4 linked regions of the Diceros bicornis minor genome follow. The protein of the gene in region 3 interacts with the protein of the main gene of each other region in a biochemical or structural test. Links are inferred from orthologs where the notes say so. Each region holds a gene or a part of one and is shown on either strand. Other genes may lie near its edges. The genes, in order: AHR, HIF1A, HSP90AA1 and PTGES3.

Region 1 (7,485 bases), on a different chromosome or scaffold from region 3:
AACCAATTGTTATAAGAAAAAATCACGTTATTATATAAAAATGGCTCATGGAAAATTTAAAAATTTTAGCAATGGCAACAAAACATACTTTGAGAACCATGTCCTACAGTGGTGATATTAGAAGTAGAAGTGATAGTTTCTAAAAGTGGCAACTCATTCTTTTTTTTTTTTTAATTGCATTATACTACAAAGACTGATTTTATTGACATACTAAGCAAAAATTTTAAGGGCAGTGGATGGTGTCACTATTAAAATGAAATGAATTCTGAAAGTCTTGTTGATACTCTTATTTCAATCTTGGTATACAAAGATCAGTTACTAAACTGATTGTAATACAGTATAGCATGATATGATTTCTGGATAATGAAAATGGTCCTAAAGTCAAAAAGAAAATAAAGGTATGGAAGTAGGACAAAATAAGACAGAGAATGATTGTACCAAAGAACTAACAACCTTAAAAAGGTGGACATTTTTAAAAAACACTAAATTAAGATTGATTATTGGGATTTAGTACATTTAGTATATCCTTTTTCTGAAAAGGAGCTTTAAACTACAGAATCAATAAATTATGTTTTGATATGCATTTTTCACCCTTAAAGTTCCTATGCTAGAAGGAAATTACTTGTTTACACTATACATTTTAGATAGAACAGCTATGAATAATAATACAGAGATGAGGAAATAAAAGAGAAGATAAGATAGAGTTGGTTGACTCTGTGCCCCCAGAACTGCTAATCCATCCACAGCAAACTCTCCTGTATGCACTGTCTTCTTTGCTCCATCTTTTGCCTTAAACTGAAAGCTGGCTCTCCCTGAGGGTGTCATCTCCAAAATGGTTCCTAATTATTTTTCCTCATCACCTAGTTCTCTGTTGCCACTTCCTGCATCACTTTCACTTTATAGTCTTGTAAAATTAAAATAAAACAAAACCCATCAACCACAAAACACACCTGCTCCTTTGTAGGTCATGCTAGAATACTCTCTTCATCACATCTCCTTCATCTTTCTGATTCAAAATTACCAGCCCACTACATCTTACCCACCATCCTCTTTTCCTCTAGCTTCTGTAGAGTAGTGCTCCTCAAACTTCACGTACATTTGAATCAACTGGGAGATCTTGTTAAATTCAGATTCTGACTCAGTAAGGACACCCAGAGGTTCTGCATTTCCTATAACTCTCATGAGAAGCTAAGGACACTGTGAACAGTAAAGCACTACATAAACTCTGTCTGGTATTATCTAATCTGCTATAATCCTAATTCCCCTTTTCTTTTTTGGCCCTCGTTCTCTCTTGCCTTTACCATTTTTAATATCTATTGTTCCCTTACTATTCTTTGTCTTTCTTACACAGCCAATCTCAATCCGTCTCCTCTCTTTCTCAACTGCTTAAGTATCATCCATTAAAAACAACAAACCCTAATTTAACACTTTACTCCCCCTAGCTACCATTCTAGGTCTCTCCCTTTCACAGCCAAACTTTAAAAAAAAAAGAATTGTCTGCGCTTGCTGATGTCATTTCTTCATCTCCAATTCAATTCTGCATCCACTTCAATCTGACTTGCAATCCACTAGCCCACTAATATAGTGTTCACTAAAGTCACCAATGACCTCGTGTTGAGAAGCCAAAAGACATTTTCAATTCTCATCATATTTGAAACTCTCAACAACACTCAATAATGTGAACCACTCCCAACATTTTTCCACTTTGTCCTCTACGACACAATAGTGCCCTCACTTTCCTGTTACCATTCGAGCAACTCTTTTTCATTCAGTTTTACAGGACCATCATCTTCTATTCAGCTATTGGATACTACATATTGAAATTCTCTGGGTCCCAGTCTTTCTCTGGTATATATTTGCACCCTACAACCTCCACTCTCTCATGTCACCTAAATGCAAATGATTTCTGAATTTATATCTCCAGTTCATACATCTTCTTTGAGTTACAAACATGTATATCCTATGGCCTACCTGACATCTTCTCTTAGCTATCTCAAAGGTACTTCAACCCTAAGAGATCCAAAGCTAAATTAATAATTTCCCACCAGTACGTGCCATTATCACATAGCCAGATACATAGTTGAGAACACTATTATGATGTTTTTGACACATCCTCTTCCCTCACTGTCATATATCCACTCTATCTCCCAAGACTTTCCCAATATCTATGGAATCTATTAATTTTCTCCATCTCCACCATCACATCCATCCTAGTGTCAATAATGTCATCTCTTGGCTGGATTACTGCAGATGGTTTCCTGAGGAGTATTACTTCCATCCATTCCGCTCTGTTCCTGCCTCTTTGATCTGTTCTATACCCTGCAGATATGGTGATATTTTTGAAACGCAAATTTGATCATTTGTGCCCTTCTCCTCTGCTCATACTGAACTTGTTTTAGTCCCTCATACCTACCAGGCTCCTTCCCACTAAAGGGACGTTGCTTGTACTGTTTCATTGAGTTGGAATGGTCTTCCCCTGCTTTCTCCCAGCTAACCCTACTTTATCCTTCAGACCTCAGCTCAATCAACATTTTGGGGGGAAAGCCCATATTTGCCTCAATGAGTAGGTCAATTTATCCACTAGAAGATCATACTGAGTTGTGTACTTCTCCATTACAGTATTTCCTGAGAGCATAGGACATTTCTGTTTGTGTTCACCATTGTCTCCCCAGTACTAGCATAATTCCTGGCACATAGGAGTCACCCCCAAATCTTTTTTGATTGAATTAATGTGTGGAGGGGATAATATTAGCTTAGGAATCCTACATGGTATGGCATTTGAGCTAGGCACTGTCTGCTATTATTGAAGAATAAAGTTGAGGGAAATGAATTAGGGATATTGTAAAGAACAAAATTTAATAGTATTTGCCGGAATATTTACATATAAGTGGTAGGCGAGTTGAACATGATTCATAGGTTGATCTGGAGAACGGCGGAGCCAATGACAAAGTTTCAGCTAAAGCATATGACGAGCTTAATGTATTGATGCACTGAAGTTGAGGTAACAAATTTACCAGGTGGAAACAGCTTGAAGACATTTTAAAACGTAGGAATGGATATGGTGTGAGATGTCATCTAGGTATCTTAATCTGGATGCCCTTCTGCTCCTGACAAGCAGACTCCTCTGTGTTTACTATCCTGGTTAACAGCACAGAAAGAGTCAGAAATCCTAGAGCCGTTTGAGACTGCTCTTTCTCTTCCCCTATTTTCTTATCCTTTTCTATCATCATCTGAATTTTCTTTCTTCTCTCCATCCCCACTGCCACTTCCCCGGACTTACACCCGGACTATTTCAACCGTAATGAAATAGTACAACGACCTAAGTACGGTCTCTGCATCCATCTCCCGTATTCCAGTTTGCACTTTCCTCCCAGAGGGACTTTTCCAAGACACCAGAATGTCACTTTTCTGCTATCTTTAAAAGGCTTCCAATGCCTACAGAATAAAATCCAGACTCTTTATCAAGGCTTTATGGTTTGAGCCTAGAATTTCGGAACTTCGCCTCCAGCTCCTCTGTCCAACCATAGCAGACTGCTTATTATCCCCAAATGCCTTGTGCTTCCCTTCTTCCTCGTTTCCTTCCTTTCAACTTTATTGAAATCTGACTACAGAATAACAAAGTTATTCTGGCTAAGGAAAAGATGTTATATTGTTTAGGATGGAGACACACACACACACACAAAAAGCCAAGGAAACTCCTAGCCTTCATGTTTTAACTCAGATGTGGCCTCCTGAAGCCTTTCCCTCTAGGAAAATTTAGAGTTCCACTGGTTATCCACCAGCTCACTGCAATCCTTCGCCAAAGGTTAGCTGAGTCACTGTCTCTCATATAGGTGAAGTTAAGCTCACTATTTGGCATGTCTATCCTTGAGATAGTCTAGCTACAAAGAGTTCGGCTACAATACGCAATTTGTTGTCACACCTCTTTCTGGGCTGCAAATCTGGCCACAGAATTCCACCCCTCGACCTCAAGAAGATGGCTACTGGGGGGCGTCGTTACGCCTTACGTCATCACGTACAGGGAAGGTGGGGCCCTCAAGGAAGATGGAATGGAAGGGCGGGGCCAAGTAGGACGGGGCGGGGCCACGAGGGGCTGGGCGGGGCCGGAGACGGGTTGGGGGCGCTTCTGCTATTCAGCCGGTGCGCGCGGCGGCGGGAGGCAGCCCCTGGCGGGTGCACTCGACGTTCCGTCCCGGGAGCGTGCCCAGGACCAGCGGCTCAGACCTAGGGCAGCTGCGTAGCAGAGCGGAAGCTGGTGGCACCGGAGTGGCGGTCGGAGTCCGAGCTCCGCGGGCGGGAAGCACCCAGGATCTGGGAAGCCCCAGGAGCAGCGCGGCGGCGCCTCCCTTACCCGAGGGGCCGCGGCGACGGTCACGGGGCGCGGCGCCACCGCGCGCGACCCAGGCCGGGATTCCAAACAGGCAGCCCAGCCTCCTCCTCCGCCCGGGCCGCCTCACCTGCGGCCAGCGCCGCGCCGCCTCCGCCGGTGTAGAGGACACCTGCGCCACCTCGCGCGCCGGTCTCCGCCCCCGCCCCCCGGCGCCAGGCCCGGGCGGCGCACCTGGACGCGCGGGGCTGCGGGTGCCGAGGAGCGAGGACGCGGCGTCCTCGCTGCCGTCCGGGGAGGACGCAGGTGGAGCAGCGGGAGCGGCTTCGTGGAACCCCGCGCCCGCTGCCGCCGTCGTCCAGGTCGCCGCTGGCTCCCGGGGAGTGGGCCGTCCGAGCCGGGGAGGAGCCGCCGCCGGCACCATGAACAGCAGCAGCGCCAACATCACCTACGCCAGTCGCAAGCGGCGGAAGCCAGTGCAGAAAACGTGAGTGTCCGGAGCGCGTCCTCGGCGCGGGGGTGTGCGCTGTGGCACGCGGGTGCGGGAGGTGGCCGCACCCCGCCCCCAAATCCCCGCGGTCCCGGGATTAGGTCCATTCCTGACACAGTCCGTGGAATCGAGATTTGGAGGCCGGTCGAAAGACTCAGGCCTTGGATTTTCCTTTTTTAATTATTGCATTTTAAAAATTGTGCCCCGTGTCCCCAGCGCACCCTCTCGCACCTCCACCCCTTTGCAGCTCTGTTCTCTCTTCCGTGGTCCTAATTTGTTGACAGCTCTGGTCTGCTGTGTGGGGCTGGTGGATTAGTTAACCTAAATCCGCCTTGAAATCCCTTTCCACTTTTAATATCCTCATCGGTTAGGTTAGAGGACGGTCATAATTCTCATTCCTGGTAGGGCGAGATGTTTTAAAGATCTAAACACGTGCTGTCTGCAAGAAAGTGGCTGAGTGCCTCTGAGGGTATTTTTTGGTCCGGTGCACCTGGCTTCTGTTGGGCTCTTATTTGACAGTAATTTTGTAGCGCTCAACGTGACCATATCGGTAAAATGTATAGAGGTGGTAGCAGGTATGAGTGAGTGTAGTGGACAGGATACAGTGAGGGATTTGTGTTTTCAGCCACCTTTTGGAGGAGCTTTCTTATCACTTTGGGGATGGTTTTAGGGTCGTAAAGAAAAAGATTTGGAACTGGAATTACTGAAACAGACGTTTTCATTCTTAACATCTTTCTCTAATTTCCTTTTCCCCCACTGCAAAGTTTTGTCGATTCTAATAGAATGGTTACAAACTTAGATTTTCTGTTTGTTTTGGTGGGCTATTTATGTGAGATGACAAATACTTTAAAATAATTTTTTTTCAGAAAAAAAAATCTATGCTTGAGACAGATTTACTTTTAATTGGCTTTATTCATGTGTTTATTCCTAATTATCTCTGAGACACTTTATTTCACATTTTTCAAATTTTCATAAACAATTTTAAGAACACCTTAAAGCTTTACTCAGAGCAAATCAGAAGTGTGCATTTTGGTTAAAACTTAACTTAGGTCACTAATCCAAACCGGAAAAATAAGAGTTTAAGATTTATATTTAAAACCAGTAACTTGGTTTAAAAGTTTCATTATTCTGGAGTTTTAATTTCCATTTAGAATTTCAATGATCATAGTTCTTCAGATCTAGACTTGGCATTAACAGAGGATATTCGTCTATAAATAGACTGATTAAAATTTGGAAGTCTTATCCTGCAGTGTGGCTAACATTAGGAATACTGCCGAGTCAGCAATTTTCTGTCTTGCCTGTTCTGTGACATTGGTTTACCATACTTGTATTTCGTAGAGTGGTTTCTTACATAAAAATGTATTTGTCTAATTCTGTGACACTGGTTTACAATACTTGCATTTTGTAGAGTGGTTTCTTATATAAAAATGTGTTTGTCTAATCTGACTTTAACCTTGATGGTTATTAAAATTGAGAGGCGTTCCAAATGCATGTCCTGTGTAATTACTAATACAGTAGCATAAATATAAAGAGGTATCATGGGTTTTTATGTGTATGGTCATAAAACTTGAATATCTCTTTGATGGATTTTTAAGTTACTGAGTTTTAGTCAGTGTGTTACAAAAGGACCTAGATGACTTTTTTAAGAAAAATCAAATACTTTAATTTTGTATTCATTATAAAGTTTAACATTTTTGGCTCCTAGTTAACATTTCATTAAAGATCTTCCCTTTAAACATATTACATTTTCTTTTATTTATATAAGATGTACCTTTTATTATTTTATCTTAACATTTTAATATACTTTCTAAGACTTTAATAGTTTGTATTTAATAATCTCTTGTACTACAACTAAAGCATTTTCCATGTTTACTCTCATTTTATTTTATTCAGTTAGTATAGATGTTTATCAGATCTTTACTGAGCGCCATGCATTGCTTCTAATCATGTAAATGCCTTAAAATATCACTGCCCTGCTCCATAAGGAACGCCTATTGCTGCTATTTGCAGAATCACTTGAAATTGTTTATCAGTTGTTTTTACCTGGATGAAAAATGGTTAACTTTATAATGCAGTTAATCAAAGTTTATTTTAGGAATGTGACCATTAAACTCAATATTAAGTTTAATATGAATTTTTTAAATTACTACCTTGGAGCTAATGGGGTCTAAAATATGCCAACGTTGTCAGAAAAATACATCTTGTTTGAGCTGAAAATGCTATTCAGATGTGGTTAACTTTGACCTCTTAAGTGATAGCCATTTTATTTTACTTAAAGAGAAGATATATTGTAGTATAATTATAGAACTGTTAATAAAATGGCCATTTAAATATATAATTCCATAAAATTTTGGAATCAAGTAGGTGACATAATTTTACCCTGAAGTTCTTCCAGTCTTCTGTTGAATTATATTACACAAGATAAACTCCCCCTAGTGGCAAATCTAACATTGAAAATTATCTTATTAGTAGGAAATACATCTTAAATGTGTTAAATTTAATCCTACTAAAGTATCTTGTACCTAGTAGACACTCAATAAATGTTTCCTTTCTTTTTGGAGTAATGAAAGTTAGGAAATTAAAGGATCTGAAGCAACCTTGCATCTGGTCCATGTTCCTAAAGAAATTTTCGAAGATACCCTTAGGAATAGATTCTGCTATAACTTTC
Region 2 (8,154 bases), about 36 Mb from region 3:
GATGTACTGTTTTAACCAGAAAGAACTCCTTTTAAAGCTCTGGATCCAATGTTAGTCTTTTCATTTTTAGGAGGTATAGAAAAAATGCACGAAAGTGGGAGAAGAGGATCTAAAACAAAGAAATATTTGGAAGAATTTACAAAAAAGTTTTTAAGCGTTGTGGAAGTTTAAACTAGAACTTTAACAGGTGATGCCTATTTTCAAGTGCACAGTGTTACCAAGACTCCTAAACCAGGTCCTGGGCATTATCTCATTTAATCTTCACAACGACTGCTACGATGGGGGCTATGATTCTCATTTCAAAAGGATGAAATAGGCTCAGAAAGCATTCAGTAACTTACTCAAGCTCACAAAGCTGACAGAGTGAAAATGATGGACTCTTAACTCAGAAGTGTCTGGTTCCAGATCCTATGCTCTTAACCACCAGGCATGCTCCTCTTCCAACTAAGAAAATGAGAGAGCTTCTTGACTTTTAATGACCAAAGTTAAAGAAGGAAGTTAAGGAATGTTCATTCTCAGACATTTTACTTGAATGATCCAATAATTATTTGTTTTGGAAAACTTTGAAGGAGTCTGGCCTGAAACCTGAAACAGACCAATGACATTTCTTTGAAACCTAAAAATCTGTATCAGTGTACTGTTAAACAAGTCCAGCCCCTACTACTAAGGAATCAACATGAATGGCCCTATGTTATCTCTTATAACCATACCTATCCTCTGTTCTGATTTCTTCCAATCCTTCAGCTTTTGAGTTTCTAGACCTTCAAAAAAGACAAATTTGTCTACATAATCTGGACTCTGGAAGGCTCATTTAAACGGAAAAATTGTAAGGAAAAAATCCCTGCCCCTCAATCTCTCAGTTATCTTTTCAAAAAGTTTTAAAATTATTAGTTAGAAAAGGATAAAAACCAGACATCTCTAACAAATAGCGTCTAAAAGTTGAGTAGCCACCATTTATTAAGTGATTAACTTAATTTTTCAGTTATAAGAACATCTATATCAAGAAATATGATTCAATCTGATCCAAATTTGCTAAATTTCCAAACGAGAAAATTCCTTAAATAACAGATGAGTCTGGAAAAATCTAAGAACTAGTTTAGAATTGAGAGTGATGCACAACAGCTAATTAATTCATTTTTATTAAAGCTGCCTTTGATAGTCTCAACTGATGAACTGCAAAGGAGAAATAAGTACAATATTGCATATAAAAAGGAAGTGACGGGTGCGTAACTTGATGCATAGTATTAAGTATAATTCTGCATATAAGGACAAAAAATTGGCACTACAAAGAGGTAATCTGTCTTAGGTTTACAATACAGCAGCCTCATCATTTCATCAAAAGTACTGTAATCAGTTCTGCAAAATTAATTGAAATTAATTCCTGGCAACTCTTGGAATTAAGTCTAGACCTGTTTACTCACTTTTTGAATTTTATAAGTGCTTTCTCTGGTGTACATAAACTGAGAACTTATCATTCTATTGAATAAGAACCAAAAAAGGATCTACAAAATAGCAAGAACATAAACAAGTTTATCTTCTGCTGATACTGATTAGGGAAGTTAATCTCTCCCAGAAGAGTGGAAGGACTTAACAGTAAAGCCAGTCTACTAACCACAACTCTTACTATAAATCTTCAATTACTTAAAATGATTTCCTCAAAGGTTAAAATACCAAAGTGGACCCAACTGTACGTGGGGGGATGGAGGGGGATCACTCTTAACCCCACCGGTTCGACTCACAATTCTTAATCCTATAATGTATCACTCAGACGCAAACTTAAAAGTGTTTTAAAAACTTGCATTAAGTTCTAACTCGATGATTATTTACTGCGGATATATTTTGAAGGTTTCCCTTTAATATACTTCAACTTCAGGAAAATGAGACAGTTCTAAAAATGTTGCAACATTTTAGTGCTGCATTTCATACGCTCTGATCACATACCTTTTTTCCAATGTCATTAACAACGATTGCCCAAATTTAGCCAGCCGCTACATTTTCACCGTAATATTTTCAAGAATGAATGAGGCATCTATTCATTTATAACGTCTGGGCTTTCTTGACAGGTGATAGAAACACAAGTATCCAATTCTGATGTTCTCTTTAAAATGTTGCTGTTTCTCTCAATTCCCGTTACTCCCCCTCTAAGTCAAGGCAAGTTTTTCAAGGCCATTAAAACAAAACCAAACCTGCACGTGCAAACTCAAAAGTTAGCATCTTCAGGCCACCGCGGCAAATCCCGAACGCACAAAGGCAAGCCCCGGCCGCGCTGGACCAGCGCAGGGCCGCAGCACGAGCCCCCGGGCCAGGAGCCCAGCGCCTGGCGCCTCCGGGAAGCCCGGACCCGCGCGCAGGGTCCGCCCCGGGGCCGAGTTTTCAATGGAACCGGAGAGGATGGGGGCGGGAAGAGCGGAAGCTCGGGTGCAGCGCGGCCACCGGGCTCGCTCCTCTGCCCGGGGTTTCCAGGCCGGGGAAGTCCACCCGGATCGGGCGCCGGCGAGCCGGGGTCTGAGGCGGGGGGGGGGGGGGGGGGGCGGGCGGCGCGAGGCCCCGCGGCCGGGCGGGGCGGCCGGGCGGGCTCAGCCCCCGGCCCCCGAAAGCACTTTCGACGCGTCTCCCACCCCCCACGACAAGATGGCGACGCGGCCAGGGGAGCCGGGCCGGCGGGGCCGGGGGAGAGGGAGGAGAGGCGAGAGCAGGCAGAAACAAAAAGGCGGCCCCCCCCGGAACGCAAGGCCCGCCCGCCAGCCCGAGACGGCGGCGGAGGGCGGGCGGGGGCGGCGGCGGGGAGCGCGGCGGGCGGAGGGAGTGGGCTTACTTTTTCTTGTCGTTCGCGCCGCCGGCGCCCTCCATGGCGACTCGGGCCCCGCGATGCCTCCCGGCCGGCGGCCCCCAGGCTCGCTCCGGCCTAAGCGCTGGCTCCCTCCACACGCGGGAGAGATGGCGAGGCACGGCCGGAGGTGGGGGATGCGAGGCGGGAAACCCTCCGTGAGACGAGAGGCAGGAGGAGCGGGCTGCAGTCGCAAGGGTCCCGGTCCGGCTCAGAAGAGCCTTTCCTCGGGCTGCTCGTCAGGGCCCACCCCGACGCGTTGGCCGAAGCGGCGGCGAGGACGATCCTCGCGTCCCCTCGGACGAAGCGGCTCTGTGCTCTGACGAGCTGAGGCAGCGGCAGGGGGCGGGCTAAGGCGGGGGCGCGCTCGGGGGCGCACGCGCGGGGGGGGGGGGTAGTGTGTCGGGGGCGCGCCCGACCGCGGAGCCCGGCGCGCGCTCACGCAAGCCCGCCTCACCTGAGGGGGAGGCGGGTTCCTTGAGAGCCAATGGCGAACGACGCAGGCGGCCAGTCCCCACCCCAGCCCACGTCTCTCTCAGCCAATCAGGAGGCGGTCAGCTGAGACACAGCTGGGAAGCGCCGCGGCGCTCACGTGCTCGTCTGTGTGCAGCGGCGGAGGGAAGAGAAGAGCTGGGGGCGCGGCCAGCGTGGGTCTGGGGACTCTGCGCCTTCTCCCTGGGAAGGCAGTGGCTGGCTTTGGGAGGCGCTGCTGAGAAGAGATTTCGGTTTCTGGGTCCCAAGCCTGCATCACGTTTCCTGCTCGGTGCGGCAAGTCTCCTGCTCTCTTTTTCCTCGGCGGCTATGCTGTACAGGGTTGCCGCCAGCTCTGCTGAGTCCTAGTTCAAAAAAACAGACTTTTCGCGTCGTGGCAGCGAACTCTGGTTCCTTTGCCCAGATGTGTTACAATGGGGTCTTTCTTGCCAGGTCGCCCAGCCACGGGCCATGTCACCGACCACATTCTGCCATAGAACACAAGAGTACCCTCCTTGTCCACTAAGTTGTTCTGTGAAGTTTGATTACTGAACAAATGCAAATAAAAAGATAAACAAACTCCTCTTGCTGTAAACCTCTCAAGGGAAGCAGGTAGCAGGAAATCTTAAAATATGAAATTATTTTAAGCATTTACAAATAGGTATAAGTGGCTTTAATAAAAGAGCATAAACCTGAATTTCAGAGGAAGAGTAGGAAAAACAGCTTTAGATAGGCTTTTATTTTACTTTCCTGTTGCTTCTAAAAGAGCCGAAAATAATCTTAGAAGGATGGGAAAAAAGGGGAAGATGACCCTTGATTGAGACTTACCACCTTGAATTGAGTTCACTGTGTAGACTGGAAAGAGGAAGGATTCTTCAAACCCCTCGCTGAGACCTGGGCAGGGGAACGCTGAACCCGAGTTAACACTTTATGGTGGCGGCCAGTATTGCTTGTTTGCTAACATGACTTTGCAAGCTGCTGGATAAGACAATCACTTTTTGGCTTTGGAAGCATACATTTCAAGACTGTCAGTCTTTTAAATGAATAAAGAATGTGTTTTGAGCTCAACAAAGAAGCATTGCACATATATCTCCACTTGACACTAGATTACAGTATTTTGCTTCTCACCTTTGCATTATTAGTTATATTGTTACAATGTGGCTTTGGGTTGTGTATTAATTAATGTGGATATCTGTAGTAGGTTTCAATTATATTGGTGTGTGAACACAATGGTCTGTATAACATAGCATTAAACTCTGAGAAGACAACAACGGATTCACATAGCACCTCTCTGTAACTGGTCTGTAGACCCATAAAGATATGGTTAAAGAGTGATCTTAATGCTACTTTTTCTTCAGATCTACAATGCTGAATGATATGTATTCTTGAAAAGTACTGGAGAAAATGCCTGAAAAGAGGAAAGGACCGAAAATAATTACTCATGTTTTCTTTTTTAATTGTGGAAAGAATAAACGTAAATTACAAACCTTTTAGTTTAACATTCTGAAAACTCAGTGTTAAGAACACTGGTGCCAGAGTCAAAAGTGAGCTTGCAATACAGGCTCTGACACTTACTAATTCATTTAACCTCTCTGTGCTTCAGTTTACTCACTTGTGTCTATGCCACAGAATTATGGGATGATTAAATGAGATAGTACATGTAAAGCACTTAGAACAATACCTGACACATAGTAAGCAATCAATAATTGTTAGCCATTAGTATTGTTGGTGGTCTTGTTTTCATTATTCTTATCATTATTACCCCCAAATTTGTGCCTCTGCTAGCAGTAATTACTTGGGCTTCTGCCACAGGTTAGCTAGTTTTAGCTATCCAAAAATGTCAATTATGTTCATATACATCCACATATATTCCCTATTTTAAACTTTGGAACTGCCCACGGTGTTCCCACCCTCCTACACAAGCACAGTTGCAGAAATCTTCAATCATTTCCTTTGTCATTTACTTGTAAGAAATTCTCTCTGTTTTAGTGTTTGTTACATTTAAAAAATGAGCATTTTGTAATAGCAAATCTAAGTCATTTTTTAAAAAATTTTGAGCATTTCAAAAGTTTAAAGTAGAAGGATAATTCAAACAGCAAAATATATTTTTGAACGTTCATTAAATTTACCCCAAAGTTCAATTTTCCTTTCCAGAAATGTATAAAATATGGTATTTTATGTGTATATGTATACATATGTATGTATAAATGTGTATACACACACATACATATATGAACACGGAAAGTGGTAATATTCAACCAGCTTGTTTTCATATAATTACGAAGGAGCCAAATAGTATTCCTTAATTCAATCAATCCTGTTAAATAACAGAATTCTGAAAAACAAAATTTTCTATGGGATAAAATTGTAAATCATCCTCTTTACAACCACCTATTAATAAATGCATTTAGGTTATTACAATGAACATAAATCTTAATGAAGAGTCTCATTCAATCGCCTTCTAATCTTTGTAAGTGTTCAAATTTCATTCCAACTCACTTTGCAGAACTTTGCAAGTAGACTGAAAGATTATTGCAAATGACTCAATTGACCCTTAACCCATATTTAGTAGGAAGTTGGGCAGTGAGTCAGGAGGAAGCAAGATAAAACTTGAAATTTGGATTACTACTAAATAGTATAGAACATTGAGCCTTTTAAAGAGTGAAACACATCAGAAACAGATAATTTAGAATGTATCAAACTATATAAGAACACCTGGTGGTCAATAAGTGATTCTTGATCTTTTAGTACCCTTAGTCCCTCCACCACCACCTTGACCTATTGTCAACAACCTATTGTTGTTGTACAACAACAACAACAAAAAGCAATCGTCTGGAAAGTTCTTAGAATAGACATTAAAAATCTTTTTTCAAAAATCAAAACAAAATATGTATATTTGTCTGAGTTTCTGGAGAATAAGAATAGACTGAAAATTTGACACTAGCATTTTTCCATTATAATAGACATTTTAAGAGTAAATTTACAAAGGAATGCCAAAAGATTTTCAGTCTCTAGTCCAACATGCAAAGAGCTTGGGAGCTCCCATCCTTACAATAAGGAAAAAAGCTGAACAAACTGAAAACCAACAACTCTTCTTAAATCTATCAGAGAACTGAGGTCACAGGACAAACTCCTACCTGAAAACTAGAGAGACAGACAGATATAAAGAAGCACAGCTTACCAAAGGATCACAGTTGACCAGGAGCCAAAGCCAGCAGCTGAAGCCAACAGCACAGTTGGAGCCAATATCAATAGGAACGCATTCAACTATAATTGAGGAATTGCTGGAGGCTCTGTTTGGACCAGCTTGAGAGTTAAAAACTCCAAGGGGGCTCAGCCGTAGAGGGGCCCTAGAACTTTCCTGAGTTTTACTTCTAGGAGCCCTAACAGAGTCTTACTGTGAAGATGTGAGAAGCGTCTCCTCTTGCTTTTTGCAGGGGGAAAGGAAAATTAACCCTTTTGAAATACTCCCAGAGCTCTCTCTTTTTCTGAACCAGGTCTGCCCTCAAGGGAAACTATTTTACCGGAGCCTAACCCACCTTGGGGAAGGAAAACACTCAATTCCAGCCCCCTATAGCCTTCAACATGGGAGAAGGGAAATGCTCAACTCAGGCTCGCTAGAAGACTGAGACATAATTATAAGACTATAGAATGCTTCCCCTCCTCCCGCACCTCACCAGAACACCACATCAGTAGGGCTCCTACATAATAACGGGGGATTACAGCTAAAGGAACTGCAAGCCTCAGACCCTATTTAAAGAGTCACTAGGGACATCCAAAGACAACAAAAGAAACAAAAACAAGGACCCTAGAGGAAAGTTTAGCTTAGATACCACAGCTACAGCAAACAATAACACAGCCTAACACCTAGCCAGATAAACAAAACTTCATAGTAAAGGCCTATCTTCCTAAGTTCCTTTTACCTGATACAGCATGTCTGGCTTTCAACAAAAAAAATTACAAGACATGCTAAAAGGCAAAAAGCATGGGCTTGGGGTACTGTGCCCCATCTCCAGCCAGCTGAGGGGGCAGCGGACTAAGATGATGGATGGTTGAGCTTTTGCTTCTTGCTGTATTTCCTTGAAGCTAATTCATTATCCTGCAGTCCCTTCATCTTCCACACCAGTCCGCTCTTTCAGCCATTAACCTAATCACTCAGCTAAATAGGTTCATGAAGAGTGTTAAGTACTTCTGAATCACGTTATGACTTAGAACAGAGATGGCAAGTGAATGGCACACCATCACCCTTCTGCCCCCATGGTAGGTACGTTAACCTGCTTCAGAGTGTTTCCCACTACTCCCCGGTATATCCTCATTTCTCAAGATTCCCCCAGCAGCCGGTATAAGTGTTGAGACCTATTTGCCATCCCTGGCTGAGATACTGCTCACCTGTGGAGAAGTGTTTCCTAAGATCTTTTCTTCCCCTCTGAAAAAATAAAAGGCAAAAACACAATCTGAAGAAATAAACCAAACATCAGAACCAGACTCAGATATGGCAGAGATTTTAGAATTATCAGACCAGGAATTTAAAATAACTATGATTAATATGCTAAGGGCTCTAATGGAAAAAATGAACAATGTGGAAGAATAGATGGGTAATGTAAGTAGAGATATGGAAACTCTAAGGAAGAATCCAAAGAAAATGCTAGAAATAAAAAACAATGTAACAGACATGAAGAATGCTTTTGATGGGCTCATCAGTAGACTGGACACAGCTGAGGAAAGAATGTCTAAGTTTGAAGATATATCAATACAAACTTCCAAAACTGAAATGCAAAGAAAAAAATTAATGAAAAAGATAGAACAAGATATCCAAGAACTGTGGGACAATTGCAAAAGGTATAACTTAACTGTAA
Region 3 (8,091 bases):
TAGAATACACCCCCAAAGTTCCTACGAGGTTATAAAAAACCAAGATGTGATTGTACCATTTATTGTCCGTTACCTGTGATGTAATAGATGTGTTTCTGGTTTTCCTTCATTCTTGTGCAGTAGTCCTTGAGAGAAACCATCTCATCACCAGAAGCAGATGTGTAATACCTCAACAGCTCTGAAAGCTTTTTCCGGTTTTGAGAGTCTTCATGAATTCCAAGCTGAAAAATAAATTTTAGGAAGACATTTTCTGCGTTAAAAATCATTTGAAATTTGAGAAGCCTATCTGACTACAGCTACTAATGATCGAATGTGTTTATACCAACCTTAATATTTTTAGAGAACTGCTCGTAAAACTTTTTGTAGTTCTCTTTATCTTCTGCCAGTTCAGTGAAGAGTTCTAAGCATTTTTTGACCAAATTCTTTCTGATAACTTTCAAAATCTTGCTTTGTTGCAACATCTCACGGGAAATATTTAGAGGAAGATCCTCCGAGTCCACCACACCTCTAATGAAATCTGAAAAAATAAGGACCAAATGCACTCAATCATTCTAAGGACAAAAATTCACAAAGAAATACACCCCCAAAACCAAAGATAAGCCACTTTTCGTCCCACATGCTTATTATACTGAAGATCTGGAGTTGACAGAATAAAATTCTTTAACCAGTGACAGTGATCATTCCTTATACCCAACCATACTCACTCAGATATTCAGGGATTAGCTCCTCACAGTTGTCCATGATGAAGACTCTGCGAACATACAACTTAATGTTGTTCTTTTTCTTTCTGTTTTCAAACAGGTCAAAAGGAGCACGTCTTGGGACAAAAAGAAGGGCTCTGAATTCCAATTGTCCTTCAACTGAAAAATGCTGTAATAAAATACACACTAAATCAGCACACAGTGCAAGCAACTTTCACTCAAAGCTGCTTAACCTGACACACACACACCTTAATTACACAACATAAAGCACTTTCGGGGAGGGAATAGGGGCTGGGATGGAAAAGCTGCCAGCAACAGCCCTTAACGATTTCAGAGAAACAACTTGCAGAGGTAGACTAGCTTTGAAGCACTCAGCAGTGACTCACCTTCACTGCCAAGTGATCTTCCCAGTCATTGGTCAGGCTCTTATAGAATTCTCCATACTCTTCGTTAGTAATATCATCAGGATTTCTGGTCCAAATAGGTTTTGTTTTGTTCAGCTCTTCCTGATCAATGTACTTCTCCTTGATCTTCTTCTTCTTCTTCTTGTCACCATCTTTCTTTTCTTCTTCTTCTTCATCAGAGCCAACATCTTCTATTTCAGGCTTGTCTTCTGATTCCTTTTCTTCTTTTTCTTTTTCCTCCTCTTTGTCTTCCTTTTCTTCAGCCTCATCATCACTGACTTCTTTGTCTCGTTCCTTCTCCACCTTCAAAAAACACAAAATCACATCACCTCTGCATTCCAGAACTAAAAAAAGCGAAATGGAGTGGGCACGCTTATACCAAAGCCTAAATTAGTGAGCCAAGCTAGGAAACATTAAGAAGCCAAGAAACTCCTCATTAGTATCTGATGGATCTAACTTAACACCTCTGGGTACCTGGTACCTTGTGAGACTAAAAAGAATTCAGACTAATCCAGTAAACACACGTTTGGGTCTTTTCCTTATCAGCAAATCTAAGGAGTAAGGATTTCAGTTAAATCACTTATAGTTTTCTACATACAGGATACACACAAACTCACAAACAGTGTAATGGGGTAGCCAATAAACTGAGAATGCTTCTTCACAATCTCCTTTATTCTTCTTTCCTCTAAGTACTCTGTTTGGTCTTCTTTCAGATGCAGGATAACCTTTGTGCCACGACCCATTGGTTCGCCTGAAAAGGAGATAGAGAAATTGACTCAATTCCAATCTTAACAGCCAAACCAAGGAAACAAAGAGTACATACAATCAATTCAGCTCTGGACACCATACCTAACAATTTGTGAACAAGTCCAGGAGACGTGGTTTACCGTTACTATAGATAGGAAGAGTCCCAGACTAGTTAACTGCTTTGCCCACCATACAGAACCACAAGCTCACGCTACTACACCACCACATGCTCACCAGCTTGCCTCCTATTATACCAAGCAGATACAAGTTTTCACAAATTTCTCTGCATCCTCAGGGGTCCCACGCCTACAGCACCCCACCCTCCACGTGACTGGCTCACCCAGGAAATGCTTTATCAGGTGCCTACCTGTATCAGTCCTGACTGTGAACGATCCTCCCGCAGAAGACTCCCAGGCATACTGCTCATCATCGTTATGTTTGGTGATCACGGTCACCTTCTCAGCAACCAAATAGGCAGAATAAAACCCAACACCAAACTGGCCAATCATAGAGATGTCTGCACCAGCCTGCAAAGCTTCCATGAACGCTTTGGTCCCAGACTTGGCGATAGTACCAAGGTTATTGATCAAATCGGCCTTGGTCATTCCGATTCCGGTATCCACAATGGTGAGGGTTCGATCTTGCTTGTTCGGAATGAGATTTATGTGCAGCTCTTTCCCCGAGTCTAGTTTACTGGGATCCGTCAAGCTTTCATACCTGATTTTGTCCAAAGCCTATTACAAAACAGATCATTAAACACCGAGCCCCTAAATGGTGAAGTTAATACCGAAACCTCAAAACCCAGTTCTACGGTAATGAGACTTACATCTGATGAATTTGAAATAAGCTCCCTCAAAAATATCTCTTTATTCGAGTAGAAAGTGTTGATGATCAATGACATCAACTGGGCAATTTCCGCCTGAAAGGCGAACGTCTCCACCTCCTCCTCCTCCATCGGCTGGTCTTGGGTCTGGGTTTCCTCGGGCATCTGGAAAGGACACCGTGCCACGTTACACGCCGCAGGACGGCGACAGCGGCGCAAGCCTCACCCGCCTTCAGGTATTTTTAGAGCGCAATTGAGGAAAACTGAAAGCAGGAGGCCGGCCGACAAAGGATGACCTCATTTCGCGCTGCGATCACAGGAGCGTGCGCGCGCCTCGAGGCGGCCCGAGGCCGGGCGACTGGGCCGCAGCCGGGGGTCCCGGCCCCACCGCGAAGCCCCCGGTCCGCGGGCCGGCCGGAGGCGGCCTGGGCGAGCCGCCTTCCCGGGCGGGGAGGACGGCCCTCCGCCGCGGGAGGCGCCGCCCCCGGCAGCCCCTTCGCTCCTGCAGCGCGTCCGGGCGACCCGCGCCCGCTCCCGAGGCGGGAGGGTCGGGGCCGCCGCAGGCCTGAGGCCTCGGAAAGGAAACCACGGCCGCCCCCACGCCCGCGGGCCGGGGGGCTCCCAGGGCTGGAGCGAACCCCGCCACCCGCAGACTGCGCCCGCCTGCCCGTCCCCTGAACCCCATTTCCTCCCCGGAGACCCCCCAACCACCCCCTCACCTCGGCTAAAGGACCGTACGGGTTCCGCGACAACGCAGCACCAGGACGCAAGAGCAACTGGCGCGCCGCCCCCGCGCCTCCCTTATATAGAGGCGGGCCCGCCCAGCGCGCGGCGCCTTTTCCAGAAGCCTCCCGAACCTTCCGGAAGCACCCTCCCCAACCGCCGCCGCGGCCGCGCGCCTGCGCCTGCGCCCTGGCCGCCGCCCGCCCCTCTCCCGGGCGCGCGCGGACCCGCGCAGCAACGGCCTGAGCGCCCCTCCCCCAACGGCCGCCGCGCGCCGCCGCGCCCGCCTCAGTGCGCCTGCGCGGTCCGGAATTCTCGGGAAGGTCTCGCGCTTTCGGGGACCAGCCCTGTCCCCGTGCCGACAGCTCAATCCTGAGCCCGCGCTCCCAGCCCTGCGCGCTCCCGGACGTGCTGAACGGCACCCCTAGCGGTCCCTCGCCGTCGGCGCCGTGCAGGCCCGGGGAGTGTGGTCAGGGGCTGAGTGCCCCTGCTCGTGTTTTTATGAAATCCGCGCAAGTCAACTTTTAATTTTTAAAGAGTGTCCTGGTGCTGTGAAAGCTTCGGGTCCCCCAGCACGAGGGCCCGCCAGCGCAGTGTCAGGGGTCCAGTGCCAGCGACCAGGGCCCCGGGGCCAGGTTTAGGGCTTTGTGGCCCTGTTTAGGGGCTCGAGGCAGAGGTGAGGGGTCAGGTGCCGCATTAATACGTCTAGGGCAGTGATTAGAGAGGCTCAGGGCTACGTTTAGGAGTTGAGGGCCCGGGGTAGCGATTGGGGGGTCCAGAGCCGGGTTTAGGGGTACGGGTCCGCATCTGTTCGCCCTAGGCAGCGATTATGGGTTCCGAGGCCTGGAATTCGGGCAACAGGCCCCTGCGAGAGCCTCGATGTGCGGAGGCCCGGGACGCTTGGCCTGGTTAGCGGGTGCAGCGGTGCCCGTCCATGATGGGCTGTGAGAGGTGACCAGGGCATGCGCTTGGGGAGGCAAGGCCGATCCTTGGTTTCTGCCTTTATGAGATGGGAGCCCCCCCCCCCCCAACGGAAGTGGAAGTCACGTTTGGACAAGGGGAGCCGCCGGGACCTCGTGGGGCTCCAGGCAGCTGGTTCTGAGGCCGAGTGGGACAGGGAGCGAGGAGCGCCAGCTGGTACTTCTGAGGGTCCGCCCCCCGCCCCAAACACTGGCCACTGCCCAAATTGCGGGGCTGGTGCCGTCCTTACGCCTACACAGGAGGAAATGCTGAAATGGACACTTACACAATCGCAAATTCTCCAAACCCGTGCGCAGTCTGTTCAGTCTCTTGGGGATTTCTATCTACCTTCGGTTTGCCATAAAACTACATCCTTCACGTTTTGAGGGTCCCTTAGTCTGGAGTTCGGAGATTTGGTGAACAAATGCGTGTTCACCTAGCTACACCCGTCATGATTTTGTAAAGCCCATCTTTTTTACTTATTTTACGTAATATGAGATCTGTATATGAAGTATCTAATTCATGGGTTGGGTGATTAACTTGCCCCCAAAGCCACCTTCTAAATGGGAATTCTAAGTGTTTTGAACAATGCCAGACCAAGCTGTAAAAGTCTCAGAGGGACAGGGGTCCTTAGTCATCGCCCAGCTCAAGATCCAGGGTGTTTCCCGTTTGGAGAAACTAAGGCCCAGCGCGCAGAGCACCCCTGCCCCGCCCACGGCCTTTCCCTCGGAAACCCTCCGCCCTCCTCTGGCTCCTTTGTCTCTAGCTCCTCCCACCATTGGTCCTCCTCCTCCTCCTCCTCCTCCCCCTCCCCCCCGCTACACACCGAGCCTTCGGGAACAATCTGGAAGCTCCTTACGATGTAAACAGACTTGACTGAACGCTGCCTCCACTTCCTTGTCCCTGGGGAAACCCAGCTTTTCCAGGAACGGGGTTTTCAAACTGGGGCCTGAGACCCACTGGGAGTGTGTGAAATAACGTAGGGCGTCCTGACTACCGTTAAAATGGGAAAAATTGAATGGGAACTAGAAGCCACATGGTAAGGGTAGGTGAGGGTTGTTATGCATTTGTTGGGGCACGTAAAATGTGTTTCTGACTCCAGCTGTGTCCGGACGCCTCGGCGCGGGGGTTGGGAGGGGTTGGGGGGGTTGGGGGGCGGGCGGAGGAGGGGGAGGGGCAGTAGTGCTGTGGGTTCCTTGTGGCCACCATCAGCTGTTTAAGGTCTCCACCGCTGCGGGCGCCTCCACCCGTAGCCCACCAGCCACCCTCCTCTTTTCTAGACTTGGAGGCCTGACCCACTTTTTCCTTTCTATCCCACTTACGCCATTGCCCAGGAGGTTTAAGATTTCTTGTAGATGAGCCATTCAAAGCCCCAGCTGTGAAATTCTCGGTTTCTAAGGCCTTCACCTCCCCCCTCCTCCAGAGAACTTGCCCCAAGGCTACTCCTGGAACCTTTGTTTTCCAGGAAGCTCCGCCTACAATATCCCTCCCTTATTCCAAATCTTGTCCTCCCGCTCTCCCCTGCCCTGCCCGCCTCAGTTACTAAGTACAAGGACGTTTTTGGTCCCCCGTGACCTCTGGGTAACATTCCACACTAACCACCACTGCCCTCCTTGAGACCTCTGCCTTGGTTCCACCTCTGCCTTGGTTCCACCATCAGCATGCTGTGGTTTCCCTCCGGGCGCTGGCTGCTCCTCTCTCTCCTCCAGACTCGCCCCCTCTCCCTGGCCTGTTGCTGGAGCTCCTGGGAGAGTACCTATGTGCGGATGATGCACAGAAAAGCCCCAGCCAGGACTCTTCTAGCTCCAGACCTGGTTGCTGAGCTCACTTCCCCCACCTCTCTGGCCTTCTAGGGCTCACTAGCCAGGTGACTATCCCACGACCTTCTAGAACCCCAAACACCCCGTAGGGAATCTGACGTGAGCCCTGCCACTTCTGCTTCCTAAATACTTTATGAATCCATCCACTTCTCTCCATCCTCATATCCCCCCCCCCCCCCCCCGGGCCTTCACCCCTGCCCACACAACCATCAGCTCACCTGGAAGACCTCCATAGCCAGCTGACTGCTTCCTGAGTCTGCTCTGGTCTGCCTCCCGCCTGTTGCCAAGGGGCGCTGTGAGAACACAGATCTGACCCTGTCAGTCCCCTCCTCCACACACTCCTCAAACACTTGCTAACACCCCATCACTCCTAGGAGAAAAAGAGCTTCTTAACCAGGCCTGCCAGGCCCTGCAGGGTGCCCCTACCTACCCGTTCATCCTCGGGTCCCACCGTGCTCCCTGTCACTCTTCTTTGTACACCTCACACCGTGATCTACCGCCACAGGGCTGTGCAAATGCTGTTCCTTCGGCCTGGAACAGCATTCTCTCTCTTTTTCTCCTATTTAATGTCCTAGTGGACCCTCAGCTCACACATTTCCTCAGGGACCTCTTCCCACCTCCATTTCCCTTCCCACTTGGCCCGAGTGGATCCCTTGATATGAACAGGCTCTCAGGATGTGGGCATCTCTTCCTCTTGGCATGAACCACACCTGCTCATCCACATCATCGAGCCTTCCAAACCCTGCTCTCCTACCCCCAACTCTCTTCCTTTTCTACCCTGCCTCCTCAACTCTGTATTTCTAATATATCTCTAAGTCCTACAGATTTAGCTCCTAAATATTTGTTGAACTTGTCCCAAAGTGATCTTGCTGTCAGGGGAATCTGACAGTTTTCCTCCTGCATTTGAAATCTTTCAGTGTCCTCCCAGTAAGCTAGGATACAAGGCCCAGACTCTGGATCCAGGGCCTGGATTCAAATCCCAGCTCTGCCACTGCCTACCTGTGTGACCAGGCAAGTCACTTCTTCTCTCTGTGCCTCTGCTTCAGCATCTGTAAAATGGGTATGAAAATGTCTTCCTCATATGGTTATGAGGCTTAACTGAGCTCATTCTGTGTTTGGAACTGTCCCAGGTAACTGCTATATACATGTTTATTAAAGTAAACAGAAAACTTCCTCATTTGCCTTTTGATTTCTTCTTTGACCCATGGGTAATTTATAAGTGTGTTAGTTTCTAAATATTTGGAGGCCCTCCAGATATCTTTTTGTTATTGATTTCTAATATTTAATTGCATTGTGGTTAGAAAACATACTTTGCATGATTTTAGTCTTTTCATTTTTATTTTGTTTTATGGTTCAGAATATGGTCTATCTTGGTACATGTTCTGTATGCAAAATAATTATGCTGAGGGAAAGATGCCAGTAATTTATATAAAATTTTACAAAATGCAAACTAATTAATAGTGACAGAAGGCGATCAGGGGTTGCCTGTGGGAGGCAGGGCTGACAGGAGCGGGAGGAAGGGATTTCGAGGGGCACGAGGACACTGGGTGATGAGTGTGTTCGCTATCTCGAGTGCAGTGATGGTCTCACAGGTGTAAGTGTATGTTGAAACATAGCAAGTTGTACTTTAAACGTGTGCAGTTTATTGCATGTCAATTATACCTCGTAAAGCTGTTTTTAAAACAATTGATGTTTAGCAAAGACCTTGGAGAAATATTCAGAATCCAGTTATAACTATATAGGAAAATTAAGTGGTACATACTTTGGAAAGAGGCACAGTTGACTCGGAGGAGGATGGTGTGGGTTAAAGTAGAGATCTTCAGCTGGATTGTGAGTGTCAACCCTGCCACTCACTGGCTGTGTGACTTTGAGCAAGCTACTCAACCTCTCTGTGCTTCAGTCTTCTCATCTTC
Region 4 (7,597 bases), on a different chromosome or scaffold from region 3:
AGGATTGGCAACAGGTATTACCTCAGGACTATCCTTCCTCACACAAAAAAATTTTTTTCTTCATACGTATAAAACTCAAACGAGGTCAATCTCTCACTGCCTCCATTACAGACAAATTTCATAGCCTCAGGGCTCCGTTACCATATGTCAAGAAGTGGCACAGGTTTTAACAGAAACAGTAGTTTAGATAATAAATAAAAATGAACTACAGAGACATGATTCTTTATTTGGAAATTAAAGGACCACCTGAGGGGCCGGCCCTGTGGCGCAGCGGTTAAGTGCACGCTCCGCTGTGGCGGCCCGGGGTTCGCCGGTTCGGATCCCTGGCGCGCACCTACACACAGCTTGTTAAACCATGCTGTGGCAGCGTCCCATATAAAGTGGAGGAAGATGGGCACGGATGTTAGTCCAGGACCAGTCTTCCTCAGCAAAAAGAGGAGGATTGGCATCGGATGTTAGCTCAGGGCTGATCTTCCTCACACACACACACACACACACACACACACACACAAAAGGACCACCTGAAAATTATTCTCCCTTTTTGTTAAGTAGAAAAAAATAAGCCTTCTGTCAGAAATCCTGGGTTCCAATTCTATTTGAGACAGCCCTTTATACTAATTGGTGCTATGTGAATTGATATTTGAATAACTAGATCCTAGAATCTAATAAAATTAAAAATTTTAAACACCTGTCTGTAACTTAGATCCTTTCAGTACACAACGATAATTAAACATGCTAAGGTGGAAAGGGCCCCGACATAAACTTTCCGGCAATAAAGTATAGCTACATGTGAAGATCAACTATTGCACAGAAAATCCACAACAGCACATTTTATTTGGCTGTGGGATACAACATGAAATTGAGTATACTGCTCAAGGTAGGGTTTCAAGTAATTGGCATCTTCCTGGAAAAATCAAAAGTTCAAAGGTGTCCTGGGGAAGTCAGCCTCAATTTAAAATCTATCACTGCCAATCTATACAGTAAATTACAAAAAGTTTACTACAACACACTTTGTATTTTTGTAGCAAACTACACTAGATGCAACAATTCTCAATTTAAGAACTCAGATAAAATAGGATCTTAAGCGTTTAAGAGCTAGATTGATTCTAAAACAGTTGATATTACAAAGGTATTTTTTTCTGAAAAGCTACAATCACAAGCCACTTAAGACCCCAAAATGATATAGCTTCTAGATTTCAAAACTGAGAAAATACAATTAAACAGAAGAATCTTAATTAACAATACATACTGGTCTGCACTCAGGTGATTTGTCACTTCCAGTTTCTACTGCCTTCTAGTTAAAGTCTAACTAAACATAGAAAAAAAGAAAATCCAGTTGCCAGATTACAGTCGTTAGGAAGTCAACACTGAACAAAGACCATGATCAGTTACTTTTCCTTAGCTTTTAGAAATTAACCATATACCCCATGCTCACTATTACAATTTGTTCTGGAAACAAAACATTGATGATTTTACTTTCGGGTCCCAATCCTACAAAGCTGAGTGATGGCAAAGTAAATAAGATTTTAATCAACGTTAGAAATAGTCATGGTATAGTTCTGGACAATTTATTAGTTTAAGTACAGGACACCAAAAAGAATGACTTCAAATAGCTCAAAACTAAATAAAACATTTTACTTTATACCCACTGTCAATGGGTCCAACTTAAAACCAACTACAATCGCTAATTTAAAAAAAAGCAAATGAGCACCCCCTGCAGGGGGTTTGCGCAGGTCTTAAATGGGGGAGGGAGGTCCTAAAATTCCAGCCTTCTCCAAGGTAGGTGAGAGATTGAGAGCTTTCATGTATGCTACTATACAAAACTTTAAAAACGTGATTAAAAGAAATTTACCCAGGAAATCACTACTACAGAGCATTCAAAAAAAAAAAAACAAAAAAAAAACCAGACCCTAAAACCCTTAAGATTTCCAGCATAAATGTCTATTTCCACAACTAGAAAAATGTTTATAGCAGACATCAACAAAATGAACCCTTATCAGTGGATTCTTCCTGGGACTGGATGACCCATTAAAAGTTTTTCCCAATTCAAATAACTCATAATATTCATCTTGTAAATTCATTCATTTTATTAGTTCAATAAGATATCCTAAACAATTTGCAAAATTGCATATATTGACTATTTTAAAGAGGATGAGATTTATCTGATCTCTTCAAAACACTCATTTTGAAAGTAGCATTCTTTACGTAGAGACAGTGCTTTTTGGAATATTGTTACACTTTTCATCTTTTAATCTATTTAGTTAAGGTTTCCTATCTAACTATTTTATGTGACCTCCCTAGAGTTTTTCTATTTCAAACCGTATTAAACATGGTATTTCTTAACGAAAAGATATTTTGTTTGGCTACATTAGTCTATTAAAAGTTGGTAACGCTTTATCTGAGAATTCATCTTCTTCTCATAGATACTTTAAGACCGACAATCCTGCTACATTATTTGGAATAGAGATTTCAAAGGGAAAAGCAAAAGCTATTTTACATAAATTAAAATCTTCTATTAGATATCACCTATGGGGGAAAAAAATCCTTCCAAAATTCTAATAAATTCCCTTTACAGTAACACATGCTTTCCTCCCGAGGCTTGTTCCCCGTCGTCAACTGGCTATAGTGTATCCTTTACCATTTAAATGTCTAATCCAACATACTCACCGTTAATGTCATTAATTACATAAACCCTTGAAAGTGCATTACTTTTTATAGGAATAAAAACTGCTCCCCTTCAATTGCTCTCCATACGTAACCTTTAGAGAGCAGTTAGTCCCAAAAACTATAAAACCGGCAGTTCACACACCTGAAAACGTAAAAGCTTTTCCTGAGAAGAATGTAAGACCTGGAAGTGGCAGTGCCAAGAATTCTTAGTCGGTTAAAATCACCGAGGTTTTCCTTTACCATAATAAAAACTAAAGATCGCTAAAAAATGTGTGGTCACCTCCACAAAAACAAATTTAAGCTCTTCAAGACAACAAGGAGGCAATCACATACCTATTTCAACCTTAAATTAGGATAGGATAATGAAACCTCGCCTGTTAACAAAGAACACAGAAAATGTCCACAAGTATCTCTGGACTCGACACGTGCACAACTACCTGCTCATGGTAGCTCCTGGCTGCCAGGGACAAAGCTGCGTTTTGGTAACCTTCAGCCCCTTAAAGGGACTAGAGTTATGGGGAGGCCTGGAAAGACCCACGCTCAAGAAATCCCGACACCCGAGAGGGAAGTAAGTGGTGGCGCCGGCGCGGCCTCCTCCAGTTGCCTAGCAGTGCCTGTCGCTTCTCGGCGGAGGCCGCATGGGGCCCTCCGAGGAGCACCCCCAGCTTCTGGGAGCACCCACCACAGGTGCACTGGCCCACGGCCTGGTCCCAGACAACAGCGCGGCCGAACCGCACGGCCCAGGATGCCAAGCGGCAATCCACGAGGGCCCCCACCTCCAGGGCGCCCACATGGCCCAAAGCTCGCGGGAGACGAAGGCCAGAGACTAGTTAGGGACAGTTACGGACAACGCGGACTGCCCAAAGGGGAAAGCGAACATCTGGAGGAAAATGTCCTCCACCCGCCACGATACCCGGAACAGGGTCCTGGACCTCCAACCCCGGGGAGGAACGACTGCCACCACTGAGGGGAGAGAGCCGAAGGGGCCAAGAGCGGGGTAGGGGGAGGCGGCTTCCCGACAGCCCCCAGCACGGCCTCGGCCTCCCTCCGGGGCGACCTTCCCTCGGAGGGGTGGCGCACTCACATCGCGAACGGGGCAGGGGGACGGGCGCACGGATGGGCGGGCCTCTCCGGCGGCAGCTGGTGGGCAGTCGGCTCCTCTCCGGTGGCGACTCCGGCGTTTTCTCCTCGTCGCGGCCTCTTCTCGCTTCCCTCAGGCGACGGCGGCGGCGGGCTCGACCCGGGTCCCCAGAATGCACCGCGCGGAGAGAGCGGCTCCTCCGGTCGGGGAGAAGAGGAAACTGTAGGAAAAGGGGCGCGAGGACGGAGAATGAACGTGCGTGCGTGCGAGCGAGGGGTGGTGAGGCCGGGCGGCGGCTGGTGACGCAGCAAAATGCCCGGGCCCTACCGCCGCGCGTGCGCACTCTTTGTTTTTGGTTTCCTGCGCGGCTTTCTAGAGATATCTACGGAAAGGGCGGGGCCTCCCAGCTCCTTCGCGATCCTTCCCGGCGTTGGCCCCGCCTTACGTCCGCTCTCTCCCGCCCGACTCGTTCCCGCCTCTGCTCCTGCGCTCCCCCCTCGCGTCGGAAAACCGTTGGCCGCACCGCTATGGGGCCACGCGCCGGGGGCCGTCTCCGGGGGAGGCGAGCTGAGGCGGAGAGACGCAGAGTCGGGAGGCTTGAAAAGTGAAAGGGAGGACTGGTTAGTCTTGAGGAAGTAAACCAGCCCACCGAGGAAACATTCCACCGCCAAAAGATGCGAAAAGCGGTGCTGGTGATAGTTGCGGAAAGGGCTGACTTCAGAATCCAGGGCCTAGTCCACCTCGCCGTTTCTCTGAGGGTTGGAGACCGTGTCCAGGGGCAGCGGAAATTTGAGGTCTTTGGCTGAGGAGGAATGTTTGCCATTTGGGGCGGGCATTTCCCCCTGCTTTGAGGTATTAGTGCTGTAGGTGAGACAGGAAGGTCATGTGAATGGAGAGGCTAGGACACTCGGTGTCTCCAGCTACATCAGTTGGGGAGAGAGTCCCCCATCTGTTTCAACCTTTGTCTCTTGAACTGGTGCTTTGTGCAAGGCACTGGGTTAGGCTCTAATGGGAGATAGTAACCAAGAGAATCCAAACAGTACCTGCCTACTCTAGAAGGCCACTAAACAGTGGAGTAAGGGAGAAACACCAGTGCACCGCCCGTTAGAACCCAAAGGAGGTGTAAGGAAAGTGCCCTGAGACATTTTGGAAAGAGTGGAGGCTGCATATTCGGCATTAAGGACTTAAGTATCTGTGCGGGGCAAGGCAGGTATTGAGAACTGCAACCCTGGGCCCTATGCTCAAATCCCGTGAAAAAGGAAGGTTAAATCTCAGCTCTTAAATACTGTGATTCTAAGGAGCCTACTGCCTGTTGGGGAAAATAAAATTCGCAAATGCAGATAACTGAGTGCTATAATGGAAGTACAAAAAGTGATGGGAGCATAAAAGGAGGAGAGGTCCACATTGACTGGAAGGATTAGGATAGGCCTTGTTAAAAGTTACCCAAAACATGGAAATAAGGCAAGGCCTGGAGGGATGGCCTTGCAGTTCATACTGGGACGTGTTTTAACTTGCCTGTCTAAGCATTATTCTCTGGGAGAAGGTACCTGTGTTTGGCTTTGCTATTTATTAAATGATTAGAGCTCAAACATTGTAAGTTACTTGTAACGCTGTAGATTTCTGATTGATAGAAAAGCTAACCCCAAAGTTACAGTTTTATTGCTGTGTAGGACAGTATTTTTGTTTAACCTTCAACCTTATTGTAATTTTTATTTTTGTGGCTCTAAATACTTAGCTCCTTAAATACGCCTGCAACCAGTTTTACCGTCTTACTGGTTCCGTCAGTGAGTTCAATAAATGTTTGGCTCGTGTTAATTTTATATTTGTGGGAGAATCATGTTTGTAAATTTTTTGAAAATTCTTTGACAGCCTCATAGAGGTGACAGCAGGAATGAGTGGGAATAGTACATTCCAGGCAGGACTCTAGATAGGTGAAGAGAGAGAAATAGAAGTATAGGGGCAGGCCCCGTGGCGTGGCTGTTAAGTGCACACGCTGGCGCCCTGGGTTCAGGTCCCAGGCGAGCACTGACGCACTGCTTGTAAGGCCATGCTGTGGCAGCGTCCCACATAAAGTGGAGGAAGATCGGCAGGGATGTTAGCTCAGGGCCAGTCTTCCTCAGCAAACAAAGAGGAGGATTGGCATGGATGTTAGCTCAGGGCTGATCTTCCTCACACACAGAAAAAAAAGAAAGAAAGAAATAGAAGTACATCTAGATCAGGCATTGGCAAACTTTCTGTGCAGGGTCAGATAAGGCCATAAGGTCTCTATTGCAACTTCTGAACTCTGCTGTTGCAGCATGAAATCAACCATAGAAAATATGTAAAAAATGAGAGTGGCTGTGTTAAAAAAAAAAAACACTAAGAATGCTGAAACTTGAATTTCTTATGTTTACATGTCACACGATATTCTTTTCCAACCCTTTAAAAATGTAAAAATCATTTTTACCTGGAAGGCCATACAAAAACTGGCAGCCTGCTGGGTTTGGTCTGCAGGCTGTAGTTTGCCAACCCCTGGCCTAGGTAGTCCAGAGTATAGAGGAATGATTCAAAATAAGGTTTAGATGGTAGGTCACAACCAAGTAATGGTGGCATTGAATACCAGGCTAATTGTTTTCAACTTATTTCTCTGACAGTGGGAAGCTGTTGAAGTTTTTTGAAGGGCAGTAACACTTGTGTTCTAGAAAGATTAATTTGGTAACAATGTATAAGGTGAACTAGAAATGGAGGAACTGAATTGAAGATAGCGTTTAGAAGACTGCAACTCCAAATAACTGGCAGTTTCCCTTATCTAAATAAGTGCTGTGGGAAAAACTGCCTTCCACACAAGAAATTTTTGAAAATTCAAATCCGTTGCATCCTACTTCATAGTTTATTTACTTCCCCCGTCAGACGTATTTCAAGGGATTTCATGTTAGTGTAGCTCTGGAAATGGCTTCTCACTCAGACGTTTCACAAATAGTTTGTAATCAGGTTTATCCATCCCTTTACATGTTATCTCAACCATTAGCTGGTGGGGACCCAAGTTGTACCAGGTTCCTTTTTCGAATTCACTAACAAGTTCTCTTTCTAGATTCAAACATGTATAGTTACAGTGTTAGGGCTTTTGGGAGAGAAATCTGCAACCCAAATTGGCATAAACTAGAAAATACCTGGCAAGTAGTAGATGCCCATTTCACAAGTTTAATACTAACAGTAGTAAAAAGAATGCAGAAACAATTTGTCGGTTATAATTGTAGCATCAACCTTCCGATATTTTCTGAGGACTGAATTTAAATATGTGTCCATAGTCACTAACAGCAAAACAGAACTTTATAGATTTACATGTGCAATTAAAAATATTTTTTTAAATAATAACAGATGAGAACAGACTGGTTTTATGAGAGGATTTTCTAATAAGATAAAGAACTTACAGGTTGTTAATTTTGTATTTGTAAGGCAAATAAAGGGAAAGGGGGTAAAGTAGTAATCTGTTCTAGGTGTAGGGAATAAGAAATTGGTCATAAAGTTTAAGGGAAACATCATGACCTAGCTAAATGTAAACATCATGTATAGCAACTTAAATTACTTCATGTTATCTGATGCCATTATTGTCCCACAATTTGAAAGCATACCCTATCAGTCTCGTTTGGCAGTAATAGAGCTAAAAACAACTGTGCCTTGTATTTACCTTTTTCATATTCTGAGTTTTGCTACCAGTCTCTCACTGTGGGCCAACAACAGCATGAACAGCTCTAGGTTAAGGAAGAGGCTTTATTTTTTTTAATTTTTTAATAATTTTTAAAATTTAGTTATTTTTCCCCCAAAGCCCTATAGATAGATACAACTATAGATAGTTGTATGTCATAGCTG

What was found.
Region 1: the proteins of HSP90AA1 (region 3) and AHR form a complex in vitro, tested with the Homo sapiens proteins (2 studies listed by BioGRID). The link is inferred for Diceros bicornis minor from reciprocal best matches to the Homo sapiens genes HSP90AA1 and AHR.
Region 2: the proteins of HSP90AA1 (region 3) and HIF1A form a complex in vitro, tested with the Homo sapiens proteins (4 studies listed by BioGRID and IntAct, with this or other methods). The link is inferred for Diceros bicornis minor from reciprocal best matches to the Homo sapiens genes HSP90AA1 and HIF1A.
Region 4: the proteins of HSP90AA1 (region 3) and PTGES3 form a complex in vitro, tested with the Homo sapiens proteins (10 studies listed by BioGRID). The link is inferred for Diceros bicornis minor from reciprocal best matches to the Homo sapiens genes HSP90AA1 and PTGES3.

What each region holds. Positions count from the first base shown.
Region 1 is NC_080742.1:43,515,182-43,522,666, forward strand, and holds the start of AHR (aryl hydrocarbon receptor), read left to right. Parts: upstream 1-4,156; 5' UTR 4,157-4,749; coding exon 4,750-4,814; intron 4,815-7,485. UniProt on the Homo sapiens protein: Ligand-activated transcription factor that enables cells to adapt to changing conditions by sensing compounds from the environment, diet, microbiome and cellular metabolism, and which plays important roles in development, immunity and cancer.
Region 2 is NC_080763.1:11,158,316-11,166,469, reverse strand, and holds the start of HIF1A (hypoxia-inducible factor 1-alpha), read right to left. Parts: upstream 3,120-8,154; 5' UTR 2,851-3,119; coding exon 2,816-2,850; intron 1-2,815.
Region 3 is NC_080763.1:46,925,771-46,933,861, forward strand, and holds the start of HSP90AA1 (heat shock protein HSP 90-alpha), read right to left. Parts: upstream 3,489-8,091; 5' UTR 3,395-3,488; intron 2,841-3,394; coding exon 2,679-2,840; intron 2,587-2,678; coding exon 2,220-2,586; intron 1,857-2,219; coding exon 1,723-1,856; intron 1,409-1,722; coding exon 1,088-1,408; intron 871-1,087; coding exon 705-870; intron 518-704; coding exon 327-517; intron 222-326; coding exon 74-221; intron 1-73. UniProt on the Homo sapiens protein: Molecular chaperone that promotes the maturation, structural maintenance and proper regulation of specific target proteins involved for instance in cell cycle control and signal transduction.
Region 4 is NC_080756.1:12,196,893-12,204,489, reverse strand, and holds the start of PTGES3 (prostaglandin E synthase 3), read right to left. Parts: upstream 3,128-7,597; 5' UTR 3,113-3,127; coding exon 3,105-3,112; intron 1-3,104. UniProt on the Homo sapiens protein: Cytosolic prostaglandin synthase that catalyzes the oxidoreduction of prostaglandin endoperoxide H2 (PGH2) to prostaglandin E2 (PGE2).